4 linked regions of the Coturnix japonica genome follow. The protein of the gene in region 1 interacts with the protein of each later gene in a pairwise test. Links are inferred from orthologs where the notes say so. Each region holds a gene or a part of one and is shown in the gene's direction. Other genes may lie near its edges.

What was found.
Region 2: the proteins of FHL2 (region 1) and JUP interact in binary tests that used the Homo sapiens proteins (3 or more experiments, as listed by UniProt). The two-hybrid records come from large-scale screens. The link is inferred for Coturnix japonica from reciprocal best matches to the Homo sapiens genes FHL2 and JUP.
Region 3: the proteins of FHL2 (region 1) and CCDC92 interact in binary tests that used the Homo sapiens proteins (3 or more experiments, as listed by UniProt). The two-hybrid records come from large-scale screens. The link is inferred for Coturnix japonica from reciprocal best matches to the Homo sapiens genes FHL2 and CCDC92.
Region 4: the proteins of FHL2 (region 1) and DCP1A interact in binary tests that used the Homo sapiens proteins (3 or more experiments, as listed by UniProt). The two-hybrid records come from large-scale screens. The link is inferred for Coturnix japonica from reciprocal best matches to the Homo sapiens genes FHL2 and DCP1A.

What each region holds. Positions count from the first base shown.
Region 1 is NC_029516.1:121,912,990-121,917,094, reverse strand, and holds the start of FHL2 (four and a half LIM domains protein 2), read left to right. Parts: upstream 1-1,227; 5' UTR 1,228-1,354; intron 1,355-3,979; exon of another isoform or gene 3,980-4,105. UniProt on the Homo sapiens protein: May function as a molecular transmitter linking various signaling pathways to transcriptional regulation. Negatively regulates the transcriptional repressor E4F1 and may function in cell growth.
Region 2 is NC_029542.1:4,296,003-4,298,434, reverse strand, and holds part of JUP (junction plakoglobin), read left to right. Parts: intron 1-80; coding exon 81-225; intron 226-689; coding exon 690-793; intron 794-1,289; coding exon 1,290-1,628; intron 1,629-1,902; coding exon 1,903-2,058; intron 2,059-2,151; coding exon 2,152-2,271; intron 2,272-2,387; coding exon 2,388-2,432. UniProt on the Homo sapiens protein: Common junctional plaque protein. The membrane-associated plaques are architectural elements in an important strategic position to influence the arrangement and function of both the cytoskeleton and the cells within the tissue.
Region 3 is NC_029530.1:4,125,568-4,129,232, forward strand, and holds part of CCDC92 (coiled-coil domain-containing protein 92), read left to right. Parts: intron 1-203; 5' UTR 204-224; coding exon 225-354; intron 355-640; coding exon 641-682; intron 683-1,730; coding exon 1,731-2,506; 3' UTR 2,507-3,665.
Region 4 is NC_029527.1:4,964,674-4,968,338, reverse strand, and holds part of DCP1A (mRNA-decapping enzyme 1A), read left to right. Parts: intron 1-905; coding exon 906-1,025; intron 1,026-3,665. UniProt on the Homo sapiens protein: Necessary for the degradation of mRNAs, both in normal mRNA turnover and in nonsense-mediated mRNA decay. Removes the 7-methyl guanine cap structure from mRNA molecules, yielding a 5'-phosphorylated mRNA fragment and 7m-GDP.

The sequences.
Region 1 (4,105 bases):
TCCAAATCAAGCCATAAATCCATTTGTCATGTCAAAAACCCTGGCACAAATTTTGTGTCCGTATCCAGTCTCCACAGCTTGACCAAACAAAGTGTTCAGAGAAGAACTGGGAGGTGACACGACCTCCTAAAAACTATTGAACTACCAACAATTTGAGGAGAAGGGGATGTAGAGAACGGGGCATTCTTTGGGACCGTGGAAGTAATAGATAAATCCAACAGAGAGATTGATGGCAGATAATCCTGCTTCAGGCAGGAGAAGAAACAACAGATAATCTCAGTTTAAAAGCGTAGTATTTCTTCTAAGACATATGTTGCCGTGTAAGGGAGAGTCATTTTTCTGCACCTAGAGGTTGCCCAATGCTCTTTCTTCATCTGTGTGTTGAAGAGGATTACCTTTTCTTCTTCTAAAAAGCAAATTAAAATAGTACAACATTCTGATCAAGGACCACAACTGTGCTGCATCTTGCTCTGTAGAAACACATCAAAATATAGAGATGGATCCATTATGGGCAAAGAGCTAGGATGCAGTCCTGATTCTGCACTGAGCCTTGTTTGGGCAGTTTCATCTCTGCAGCCAGAAGGGCAGTGCCCACAGGATCTGCTGGAAGACCTCTCTTTTACCTCTAATCTCTCACTCCTTATATGTATGAGTGTCCCCTACACCTCTGCTCTACACCTCCCTTGCAGAGAGCAGGGGCCCAGCAGGGAAAGCAGGCTCCTGAGCTTTGAGGCCTCTGCCCATACCCACTGATTTGTGACCACTGATTTGTGCTGCCACTGTCTTCCCCTGGGATCAAATAGAGCACAATGAGGCAGACAGACCACCCTGCAGTGAGGCTGTATGCCTGGGATGGACAGACAAACAGATGAAGGGGAGTTGGAGTTCACCGCATCCACAGAGCAGCTGGCATTTCTGTTAATCCCAGAGCCTTGGGGAATAATCTGATGGAGAAGTTAGAGTTGCTTATAGCTCAGTGAAAATATCAAATCATATAATAGTTCTGGCGTTCTGAGGAACACTCGCAGGAACTCCTGAAAGTAGGTGAGTGTATTTTGAGATCCAGCACTCTGAAATGGAGCAGGTCAGGAGGACAGCAGCCCTTTCCATTGGGGGCCTTGTGTTGCTATATCTGTGATGCCTTAAAAGGCCGGTGGCACAGAGGTACTGCAGTCCTTATCTCCTCTGGGTGCCTGGGGCTCTGGAGATATTATATTTATAGCTCATCTGAAGTACAAATGTCTGTCTAATTACTAAATACATAGTGTGGGTAATCCAATGAAGCCACGAGTCCCTGTGTTTGCTCCCATCCTTCGCGCTCTCACAAACAGAGGCACCACCGAGCTGCAGCAAGGTAAGACAGTGACCAGTCTGGATTATACCATCCTTTGGCCCCTTTTCTTCTTTTCACCTTCCCTCTGTAACAGGGGCTGGAAGTTTCTTAAGGCTTTGGGCAGATATCACAAGGGGAGGGCTTCTTTCTTACCAGAAAAGGGGATTTTCGGTTGTTTGTTCGTTCCTTGTTGCCAGGGCACATACAGAGCATCTGACTTTGTATTTCCAGCCTGTTGTTGGGAACCAGGTGCTAAATAGCAGCTGTTCTTTAGTTTCTGCACTAATAATATGCTGTCGTTTCCATGTTCTCAAGGAATACAACCATGTCTAACTATAGACACTTTCCTGGTTTGAATAGAAAACTGAATGACTTCAGGCGGAAAGTGTGTGATTAGTGTTCTTTTTTCCTCTCCATCAGCATTTTCTTCTTTATGAAAGTGGGGAAAAATAGAGGGCAGAAGGAACATTTTATTTTTTTCCCTCTTTGAGACCATTTCCTAACAGCCTGCAAGGAAAGAAAGCCAAATCACAAGCGATGCTTGTTGATTTCTTGTTTAAACAATTGCTTGATATGGGTTACAGCAGCTGTGTGAAGAGGGAAAAGAAAGAAAAGCACTAAAACATGTCTGCGTATGAAAGCACAAATTCTTCAGAACCAGACTATAAAATAGCATTAGCAATAACTGCCAAATGCCAATTATCAGGCCATTGTTACATTAAATTACTTTTAACCTCATCTCATGAGAGCATTAATTTTCAAATGAAGCCAATAAAAGAAGACCTCTTGGGAAAAATAAGATTGTTTGTGCGTACGCATATATGTGTTTGGATGAATTTGTGCACACATTTTTAATATAAAAATCCTTATAAGGAAAATCTCTTTCATCCAGCGACCATGAAGAGTGATACAAAGGTGATATTTACTTTTAGTCCAAGAACTAAAACTATCACATTTTAAGCTAGAATTTGTTTATTGTGTTAGGAAATGAAATGAAAGGAGTTATTTTGTGGTGGCTTATTTTTCCAAAATACTGAGCAGCCATTGTTCAGTAGGCTTTGACAGGACCTCAGGCCCCTATCAACCCCAGTTGAGCCAAACCTAAGGCTCATGTAAATTGTCACCTCACTTCAAAGCTCTAGGAATTGACCTCAATCCCTAAGTGGAGATTTAAAAGGCAAAAGGATAGGCCGTTAGCTGATCCCAAACTGCTGGAGATCTGCTGACTTTAGCTGGGACGTGGATTTTCACATCAAATGTTGACTGAACACATCAGCATGAAGAAGTTGAATCCAGTCTCAGGGCTGTCTCTGCCCCCATTACAGCAGTACATGCAATACCCTCTGCAATGCTCTGAATCCAGAATCTGAATATCCGTGCCATTACATGCTTCTTGTATCAAAAATACAATTACCAAAATAGCCACATAGATGGGACTCACTCCCAAATGGGAGAGCCCAAGCTGATGTTTGCTCAGCTGGCTAGAGAGATCATTGAGTTGCAGTACCTGGGAGTACCCTGAGGTCTTCTCTGATTCATGACATAGATGTGGCTTATCAGTCTGCTCCCATGTTTCCATCTTCCACTGAGTAGGATATCACTGACAGTGTGTTTGACCTCATTTAGCTTGTCTTGTCTGGGATGTGCTCTCCAGGCTTCCTCTGGCAGGGGGTGATGACCATTAGTGTAGACTGTGTTGAGACAGTGAGCTTAAGAACAAGCTTGTTCCATCTTTTATGTGAAGAACAGAACATAATTTCATCAGAAATAAAAGAAAAAAAGTGATAAATACCAAATAGTCTGCACATGTCTATCTTATCTAAAGGCTTACTATCCCCTCAAGAATGCTTTGGAAGGCTTAACTTCTTCAAACACCACAGCTGATACTTCTGCACATCCCTATGTTCTACTGCACTTATGGTCTGTCCTGCTCAGTTCCATACACGGCTCTGATCTACTTGTCCCTAGTGCTGATGAAATGAGTTTTGTAAATTGGCTACAGACCAAAGGTAGCACTTCCTACCAACGATTGCAACATTGGCTCTGCGTGGGCCACCAGCACATGTTGGGAGCTACCCTAGCCAGATTTGCTGCTCCCCTTGGCCATTTTTTTCCCAGGATCCTGCAGTTATGTTCAACTGATGTGCAGAGTGTAGTAAATTGAGCACCGAAGAAGTTGTGTGTGAAAATAACATTTTCATGTCCTCAAATTCTTTGCCTATCATTCAGGTCTAAGACTAAAACAATAGGAATAAAACAACTATTCTGGTTGGATTCTTAGTGTTAAATTATCGTTGTTGCTACACAGACAGTGTTCCCCCTTAAAAACAAAACAAAACAGAACAAAACAAGAAAAGCAAAAGTAGCATTCCAATCATGTGCAGCAAAACATCAGTGTTGCTTGTTGTTTTTTTCTAAACACTAGCCCAAGATATTTAGCTTGAAAAAATGCAGGAACATGCATACGAGTGCAGATTTTTCACCAGATTTGAATTTAAAAGTGAAATAAAACAAAAAGGCCAAAAGCTTGTTCCCAAAGCGAACCCATGCTGAAGGCAGTCTTTCCAACAATAATACTTTGTTCTTACCTAGCATTTTAATATATGATTAATGGGTGAATATCTTTACTTATTCCTTTCCAAACAGCAAACCATCAGAACAATGCAGACTTTTGATTGCAGCTGGCAGGAGGCTGGGAGTGGGAAGACTCATTCAAACCCTTCCTTAATACAGAAAATATAAAAGGGCATTTTTACAAGGAAGAAAGATAGA
Region 2 (2,432 bases), on another chromosome or scaffold:
GTGATGCTGCACATCCTGGGGGTCTGCAGCGCGTGGTGCTGCCCACACCCTGGCCCTGACCCTGCCCCCTTACCTTGCAGCTGATTATTTTGGCCAACGGAGGCCCCCAAGCCCTGGTGCAGATCATGCGCAGCTACAACTATGAGAAGCTGCTGTGGACCACCAGCCGGGTGCTCAAGGTGTTGTCAGTCTGTCCCAGCAACAAACCTGCCATCGTCGAGGCTGGTAAGAGCTCTGGGGCCGCCTCCTGAACTCTGTGGGGTTTTGGGTTGATGCTGTTCGCCCTCCCATAGCACTGACTGCCCCTGGCTGCTTGCTGCCCACCCCTCTGTGCAGTGCAGCCCCTGGGGCCCCAAGAAAGAGTGATACTGCTGCATCCCTCCCACGGGCAGCTGCCCTGTGTGGCACGCCAGTCCTTGAGCTGCCGGGTCCCACCGCCCATGTCCGGGTCTGTGTCTGCTGAGGCACTTTCTGGGGCTGTGTGTGGGCAGGAACCGGCCTGGCTGGCGGGCAGGAGCTGCTCTGCTCCACATTTAGCAGTCAGCCTCTGCTGAGCGACGTGCTGCGTTGGAGGCGGCAGCCGGGTGGCACCCAGCCTGTACTCGCTGTGCAGTGCCACGGCTCCGTTTCCTCTCTGCCGGGAGCTGCATGTCTGTATTTATAGACCCAGTGTCTCGTGTCTCTGGCAGGTGGCATGCAGGCTCTGGGCAAGCACCTGACCAGCTCCAGCCCCCGGCTGGTGCAGAACTGTCTCTGGACCCTGCGAAACCTCTCTGATGTGGCCACCAAACAGGTGGGTCTGGGGGCTGCCGCGTTGTGTTCAGCTCAGCTTTTTGGGGAGCTCCTCCCAGCTGTGCCTGGGGTCAGTGCCACCTCTGTGGAGCCCCGTGCCCATGCCAGCCTGATCCTGAAGTGCTGTCCTTACTTTGCTCTGCATCAGCAGCATCCCCAGGCACCCTGATCTTGCAGCTGCCTTCTCAGCTCTCGGCCCCATGAGGATGCAGAGCCCGAGGGGTGCCCAGGGCTCAGCTCTGAGCTCTTCCAGCCGTTCATCACCTCCTGATGCGTTCCCCATGTGCTCGGGTTGCAGATTAGCTCCTGATGCAGTGTGGAAACTATTTGTGCTGGCGGTGGAAGTGTGCAGCCGGGTCCCCTGGCTCTGGCTGCAGCACTTTAACCCCTTCCTGGCACTGTCTGCACAGCTGGGGCCAGAACTGTAGTCACTATGGGATTGTTCAGAGTCAGGATGGAGGGAGAAGCCGCTCTGACCCCTGTCTGTGCTTCTGCAGGAGGGTCTGGATGGAGTCCTCAAGATCCTGGTGAACCAATTGAGCTCTGACGACGTCAATGTGCTGACCTGCGCCACCGGCACGCTCTCCAACCTGACCTGCAACAACAGCAAGAACAAGACCCTGGTGACACAGTCCAACGGGGTGGAGGCGCTGATCCACACCATCCTGCGGGCGGGCGACAAGGAGGACATCACCGAGCCGGCCGTGTGCGCCCTGCGGCACCTCACCAGCCGGCACCCCGAGGCCGAGATGGCACAGAACTCCGTGCGGCTCAACTACGGCATCCCCGCCATCGTCAAGCTGCTCAACCAGCCCAACCAGTGGCCGCTGGTCAAGGTGAGGGGTGGGGGGGGCTGCGGGGAGCTGCAGCTGGAGCCCAGCGCACCGGCTGCTGTGTTTCCGTCAAGCTAATGGCTGCTAATGGGAGGAAATTGCTCGTGCTCTGCTGCTGCGGTGAAACCCACCCTCACCCCCCGCTGTGGGGGTGTAGGATCCGGTGCAGGAGGATGCAGGAAGCCGGAGGCAGCGTGTGCTGCGGGGGGGCTGTGGGTGGGCTGCGGGGTGCCCTGTGCCTCTGCTCTCTGTCTGAATCTCTGTGCCCTCGTTGCAGGCCACCATCGGGCTCATCCGCAACCTGGCCCTGTGCCCGGCAAACCACGGCCCGCTGCAGGAGGCGGCCGTCATCCCACGCCTGGTGCAGCTGCTGGTGAAGGCTCACCAAGATGCGCAGCGTCACGTGGCGGCTGGCACACAGCAGCCCTACACGGTGAGTCCCCAAGCGGGGTGGGTGTCTGTCCCCACGCTCAGTGCATGGTGGGACCATGGCATGGGGACCCTCTGAGCACACATCCCCTCACAGGATGGTGTCAAGATGGAGGAGATAGTGGAGGGCTGTACAGGAGCGCTGCACATCCTGGCCCGGGACCTCATGAACCGCATGGAGATCTTCCGGCTCAACACCATTCCCCTCTTTGTGCAGGTAGGGGCTGGGACACGGGGCTGTGCCGTGCCACCTCCCAGCTGCTGGGAGTGCACATGTCCATGTAGGGCTGCACTGGGGACACAGTCTCACACCGCCCTGTTCTCTCCCGGCAGCTCCTCTACTCACCAGTGGAGAACATCCAGCGCGTGGCAGCCGGC
Region 3 (3,665 bases), on another chromosome or scaffold:
GCTACGTCTGAAATGAGAGTATTTCTAATTGAAATAGCGTGAAACAGGAAAACCTTTTACTTGTGTGGCACTTGCATGGTTGCATATCAATTCATTAATGGTATCATTCAGCTGATTCTGTTGGACCAGGCTGCAGAGTGAGGCTCTTTATATGTATGTATCTGCAAGTGAAGTCACTGATACAGTTCTGCCTCTGCCCACAGACAGAGTCACTGCATGCCAGGATGGCAACGTCAAACCTGGAGAACCAGCTGCACAGCGCCCAGAAGAACCTCTTGTTTCTCCAGAGAGAACATGCCAGCACCCTGAAGGGCCTCCATGCCGAGATCCGGCGCCTGCAGCAGCACTGCACAGGTACCTGGGGAGGGTGATGGTGCTGGTGCTGGTGCTGGGTTTGTCTCTTCCCACAAGGATGGGGAAAGTGCTGGGCAGTAGAGCCCATCACAGTGTGTGCTTTGGGTTTATGTATCTCAGGGCATGACAAGTGTGAAATAAAGAAAATTCTTTGCTCAATGATTAAAAAAAAAAACCACCTGTTACCTTCTTGTTCTGGTTGCTCAAGATTTGATAACATGCAGCACATCTCCGTTATTTTAAATATGCTTGTTCTAAAAAATAAAGTAACTATTTCTTCCCCCAGACCTGACCTATGAGCTGACAGTGAAGAGTTCTGACTTGTCAGGTAAGGAACACGTAGCATTCTTCTTTAATGTTCATGTTAAACTGCCTCGTTTCTTAATGTTTTACTTTCTCTGTTACAAGTAGCTGAGAATACTTTGCATATGGGATATTGTTGACTATAAATTCAAATGGTGCAAGAGTAGTTTTCTCCTTTCCAGAATCATTGTTATCAATGAACTAACCACCATCCACAAACTGGAGCATTAACTCTTTAACTCCCAGTGCATTACACAGTGTTACAGTTTGGAATATTGATAACAACAACCATAAAACCTTGACAATAAGTTTAACAAGGTCACATAGGAGATGTCTGAGAGATCCAGGAATAGAGTGTAGAACCACTGACTGCTTTCTTTTAATAGACAGTCAGTTCCCAACAGGCTTTATGGGAACATGAATTTTAGCAGCAGGAGTGAGGCTGTTTAATTAGAAGTTAGCTCGCATAGCTGCTAGTCAGCTCAGCTGCATTATGTTATCAACAAGTGAAGCAGAGGAATTAATTAAATGCTCCCTGGGAGTAACCTCCTGAATCTGGGCTACTGCAGGACAATGTATGTCATGTGAGTAAGAGAGAACATGAATATTTAGCAAAGCAAGTGAGGAACTGCATGGGTTCAGCATTATTTCATAATACTGCAGTGCTGCTCAGATGCTTTTCATCACAGGATTTTCAGAGTAGGTGGTTTAATAGTGATGTTCACTGTTGTCCACTATGAACAACATCTAACAACTTATAACTGAGAGTCTTAATGGTCAGAGAATTTGCAAAATAGCTCCAATTTGGAGCAAGTTCTGCAAGCATGATTTCTGTAATCTGTTCTCCTCAGTGAATGAAGCATCTTTTAAATACAGTCAGTGGCACAAACTCTTCACCTTTTCCTGTAAAAGCCATCCTGCTGCTTCTGAAGATGAAGTAATTGCTACGGTATTGGCAGAAGTTGGTCTTTGGGCTCTTCCTGTGGCCTTGGAATGCCAAAAGGAACCCTGCTGCAGCAGTTTTCTTAATGACAGCTACTAACTTTGAAATGCTTCTGCTTTTCCTGTTCTAGGAAACATTAGTTCAAGAAGTGATGAACTCAAAAGAAAGTGTGAAGATCTTGAAGCTCAGCTGAAAGCCAAAGAGGCTGAAAACAATGAATTATTGAAAGAACTTGAACAAAAGAATGCAATGATAATGGTGCTGGAAAACACTATTAAAGAAAGAGAAAAGAAGTATTTGGAAGAGTTAAAAATGAAAAGCCATAAGCTCAATATGCTGTCGAGTGAACTAGAGCAGAGAGCGAGCACTATTGCTTATTTAACTTCTCAACTGCACGCTACTAAGAAGAAGCTGATGAGTTCAAGTGGGACTTCAGAGGGGACCCCTTCAGGCAGTCCAGTGTTGTCCAGCTATAAGCCAGCCCCTCCCAAAGATAAACTGCCTGAGACTCCACGGCGCAGAATGAAGAAGAGTTTGTCAACACCACTCAACCCGGAGTTTGAAGAGGCCTACAGAATAGGATCCGATAGTCGGAAGCTGCTGTTAAGAGAGCATGTGGATGCCATGCCTGATCCCACTCCGTTTCTGTTGGCCAGAGAAACATCAGAGGTCCATCTTATTAAGGAGAGGCCGCTGGTTATTCCACCCATTGCTTCGGATCGAGCATCGGGTGAATCGCAGAGCCCAGCCCGAGAGAAGCCACACAAGGCACACGTTGGAGTGGCACATCGCATCCACCACGTCGCGCCCTCCCAGCCTCAGCCAGAGGTTGAAACGCTGGCGGTGGATCAGGTCAATGGAAGCAAGGTGGTCAGAAAGCACTCAGGGACAGACAGAACTGTTTGAGTCAAATCACTGTTGCCCTTTTCTGTTGCTGTTTATGCACTGTGATCCTATAGGATAAATAGCACCTGCAGTAAAGTTTCTTTTTGATGCCCCATGCATGCCAAACTTCTTCCAGATACATCATTAATAGATTATCCTCCTCTATTGAAACCTACTAGGACTGTGTTCATATGGCAAGGTATATAACTACTAAATGCTGTGGCCAAATCAGGGGTACCTGACTGCTTGCTTCTGAGCACTGCTCCATTTATTGTATTTACACATGTGGACAAAGGCACATGCTGCAGGCTGTGTTATTAATATTAGTGAGAACAAACTTACCTATAAACCTGCAGCAATACGTATTGGCTGTTAGCATTTGAATAGCAATGGTTCTTTTGTCTTCACTGTGTATGTAGCACTTACTTCATACACAAGCATTGACTTTCATGACAAAGCCTTCCTCATGGTAGCATTGGAAATCCATGTGGCTGTACATACACTTTAAAACAAACTAAGGACTTTTTTTTTCCTTCAAAAGCTATCAGTTGTGAACTGTGTTGATAGTTTCTCAAAGTCCTGAGAGTCCCAGTAAGCATTGTTCAGCCCTAAATGCTTTGGTTTGTGGCTCTAAGCAAAAAATGAGGAAGGAAGGTGGAAAATCACTGTCTTCAATGGTTAATGGTCCTCTCAGAGTATGAACACATTGGTTTTGTTTGTATTTTTAAACTGAGTGGCATCATTTTACACTAGTCAGTCAGTGCACTGCACTTGTGGCACCTTCCATACTGGCTGAGAGCTCCTTTTTTTCAGGGAGAAAATGTACCTGGCTGTCCTGTATGAGAACGGTTCTTTATGCTCTGACCTGCACTTTGTTTTGTAAAGGTTGTTGGGTTTTTTTTCTTGAAAAGATGAGACTTATTCAGGGTACTGTGGGCAGTTCTGACTTATAGTAGCTTAGAAGCCGGAGCTGTTCCTCTGAAACATGTGTGCTCAGTTTTAAATGTAACTGACTTACCCGCTTGTTACAAGAGGAGAACCTGGCATCCCTGATTTTATCCTAGTCAGTTGGGATGCACTTGCCTTGTACCTGTCCTGGTTCCCCTGTCAAGTTAGCAACAGGCAGACCCTGCATCTGTTGTTAGGCTACTTGATTTCTGTTCCTTCTTTTTGTTCTTTT
Region 4 (3,665 bases), on another chromosome or scaffold:
ATAGTGTTTCTGTGTGTATTTCATTCTGAGAATGGAAACATTGCAGATTATCCTCTTGTGAAGGGAAACACTGTGTTTTGTTTCTGTAACTGTAAGGCAGTCCACAATTTCGGGCCCCAAAAGAGACCTTTGAAGTTAGCGGCTAAAACACATAAAGACAGGAGTTGTTTGTTTCTGTCCATAGATAATTTTGATTTTGTATTTATTCCTCTCGAATATTTTTAGAAAACATAAATAAAGCTCAGATTGTTTCTAACTTCTTGTTGAAAGGTTTAGCCTGTATTTTGTTGCTGTAACAGGTAAGTGACAAAAGAGATTGTGTGTTGTGCTGATGTTGAGCTCTGTCACAGGGGTAAGGTGTAGTTCACCTGAATGCCAGGCTGCTGGTCCTACAGTTGCTTTTCCTCTGTGCTTTAAACTGTAATAAATATTGTTTACTTATGTATTTGTTGAATATGGAAATCAACACAATCTGTAAAGAGTTTGTAAACTTACTGTCTGTGACTTCCTTGTCCTTTTAGCTTTTTTCACCTAAAACCCAGTTAACATCTTCCGAAAATACTTGCACGTTATTAAAATCTAGTGAAAATAAGTCACCAACAAGCTCTTTATCCAATCACTCTAGAATGATTTCTGACAAAAGCTTTTTTGTAAGTTGCTTTTAGTATGAAGTTCTTGATTTAATATCCTCCTTAGCAGCTAATGTGGGAAAAGAATATGGAAAGCCTGTCTTTATTTTCTTTTATTTTCTCCTTTGAAAATAAAAAGAAAAGCATCATGAACACATGCCAGATGTTGTATATTTTGGTATGATATTATTTCCTGAAACGTGGAAATTCTGCAGTATCTGTCAAAAGTCAGTATTTTGACCAAAGTGTATCTGTATTTATTTTTTTTTTCCCCAGAATCAGAGCAATGATTTAAGTGTCGCGTCAAGTTCTGGTGTACAGCAACATGCAAATCCCACAAAGCCAGAAAGCACAGAGACTTCAGAACAAAACACTTCATTACAAGTGCAAGATCAAGTAAGTTTAATTCAAAAGTATATAAGGTACTGCTTCTTTATTTAGTACCAAAAATGCCTGCAGCATCACTTGCTGAATGTTTTGTGCTTAACTTTAAAATAAACATATTTGGAAGTGTAGATTCAGTTTAAGAATGGGTTTTAGTATCTATTCTCATCTCCTGACTGTGCTTGTCTGAGATCAGCTGGTATGATTCATCACCTCCACCCCCACTTAGATAAACCAGTGGGTTTTAAGACTCTTAGGAGCCTACAATCCATTTTTCATCTTAATGCTTAAAAATATAAGATGGTGTCTGCGCTACTCTGAATATTCAAATGTATTTAAATAGGTTAACTTAGAATCTGGACTGTCATGGACTCTATGCTGTCAGTCAGTGATAGCATAGAGGTCTGTGTGAGATGACTGCAGAGTGAGGAAGCAGACAAAATTACCTCTGTCACAGTGACAGAGTGAATATGGCATCAGTCAGTTGTATGCTGTGCTGTAGACTTGAAAACAGAAGCTCAAGCCCTCCCTTTCCCACGTTTGAGACCTGTACTTAAGGTCTGTCCATGCTGCCTCCTAACCTGTAGCTATACTCCTGGTAACTGAAATCATTGGTGAATTGCTGGATTTTCTGTTGGTTTTTTTTTCTGTTTTAGATTTCAGCTTTGCCTTCCTTCTTTGGCAGTAAGGAATATCTCCCAAAAATTTTTTCATCAATGTCAGTAAATGATGTTGCTCAAGTTTATGGTAATTTAATTGCGTGTACAGTGCTTAGATCTGTTTCAGGTAAATGTTAGATGAATGTTCAGTCAGCATCTATCTACGTACTTTCAGATTCTAAAGCCTACTGCTACTACTGTAACTGAAGATTAAGCCACAGTTGTTTTTTGTTTTATTAAAAATAAAAAGCTAGTGAGAATAACCTGTGCTTCACTTAATTGTCTTTGAACCATGGGAAACTTTATATGAAGTAGTATAATCACTGGAGTGGTTGAAATATGGGCTGCAGAAGTTTGATTGACTTCTTTTTCTTGTAAGGGTATATAAACAAGGGACCTGTGGCTTCATACAAAACTTTCTAGAAATTTGTTTTAAAATAATAATTTGTGCTACATCTAAATTCTCTGTATCAACTTGTACCTGCTTACAGTGCCACCCAGTGGGGACAGAAAGATCAGGAGCAGTTCTCTGTATAAAATACCCCGCTGAGGTGACCTGGAAATGTCTGCCTCCAGGTCCTTCCTGTAGCTTTACTGTTATGTTTTGAATGCAGTAAACCTTCATTTCTGAAAAAGGAAATGCCTGAGCAGAATGTGTGCAACCTTACATTTAATACTTGTAGACAAAATATTTAATTTGTAGTAAAAATAAATAATTACTAGTTCAGGTTAGGATATGAGTAGCAAAAAATTTGTTTATGTTGATGAGTTAAAACAGGAGGTGAAGGGAAGCTTCATGGGATTGCTGGCTGTCACAGTGCCCTCCACCATCTCAACAGCACTTCTGATTTAGAACCAGCACAAGTGATAGACTGACCCCTGGCAGCCAGCTCTGATTGCTGCATGCTTGTGCTTGAGGCCTGGAAGCACATAATTAGCTGAACTTGCCAATCAGTAATAAGTAACAAAGGAAAAAATCAGAAAGGTAAGATTCTAGTAAATTGAAACGAAATAATTAACAAGTTTACAGAACAGGTAAAGCAAAGTACTTTAGTGCCTTTTCTGTTGAGTAATTTAAAACTGTAGCTGCACAGATACTGGGGGGAGAAAAGCTGGTTACTGTACATGATACTTTACTTTTGTGAAGCTGGATGGGTTCAAATACAGTATGGAGATGTTTGTTCTCAATTTCATTTTTAATAATATGAACTACTGGAAGAATGAAAAAATCACTGTTTCAATGGTAAGAGGACATTTTCACCTCATTAGAGCAAATGACCAGTGAAATTAAAAACTACTGTACGTTTAAGTACTGTGAGATTCTGAAACCCCTCCCAGGATGTCACATTTGTATGTTGGTTTCATGTGAAGGATGTCACAGATTGGGGAATGGAAAATCAATGTCTGTTCTGTGGTATTTAGAAGTTCAAGTTATGTATCCAATTCTAAAAGAATTCAGTTGTATCATAAAATGTTTTTGTACCAGTGGTCAGCAAAACTGAACTAGGACACTGAAATTAAATGTATTAGTGCCAACTCTGGCTGCTAATTCACATGTCTCAATGTATCTGAAATGATTTCTGGAGATACCCTCTGGGCAACACTCTGTTCCTATCAAGTAGAATGATTGTGTTACCTTCTTTGCAAGCGCCTGCAGAAGAAGGGTCTCCATAACACAGTGAGCTGATTACATGCTTAAAATACACCTCAGCCAGAGATGAGACAAGAAAAGGAATGTGTTGTGTACCTCATGTTGGAAATCAACCCAATGTTCGTGACTGTATTCATGTGAGCGGCTAATCTGACTAGGATCAGAGCATGGTAGATAGCAATGAGTTAATAAAGAGAAGCTAGTTAATTCATCATACTGAGGTTAAAAGCAGAATTTCAGGTGGAAGAGTTAGTTTTCTCGTAACAGATCTTTTGTCCTTGAAGAATGGGTCTCTAAAATGATACGGTTAGTGGAGAAAATTTGAGAACAGCTTCATAGGAA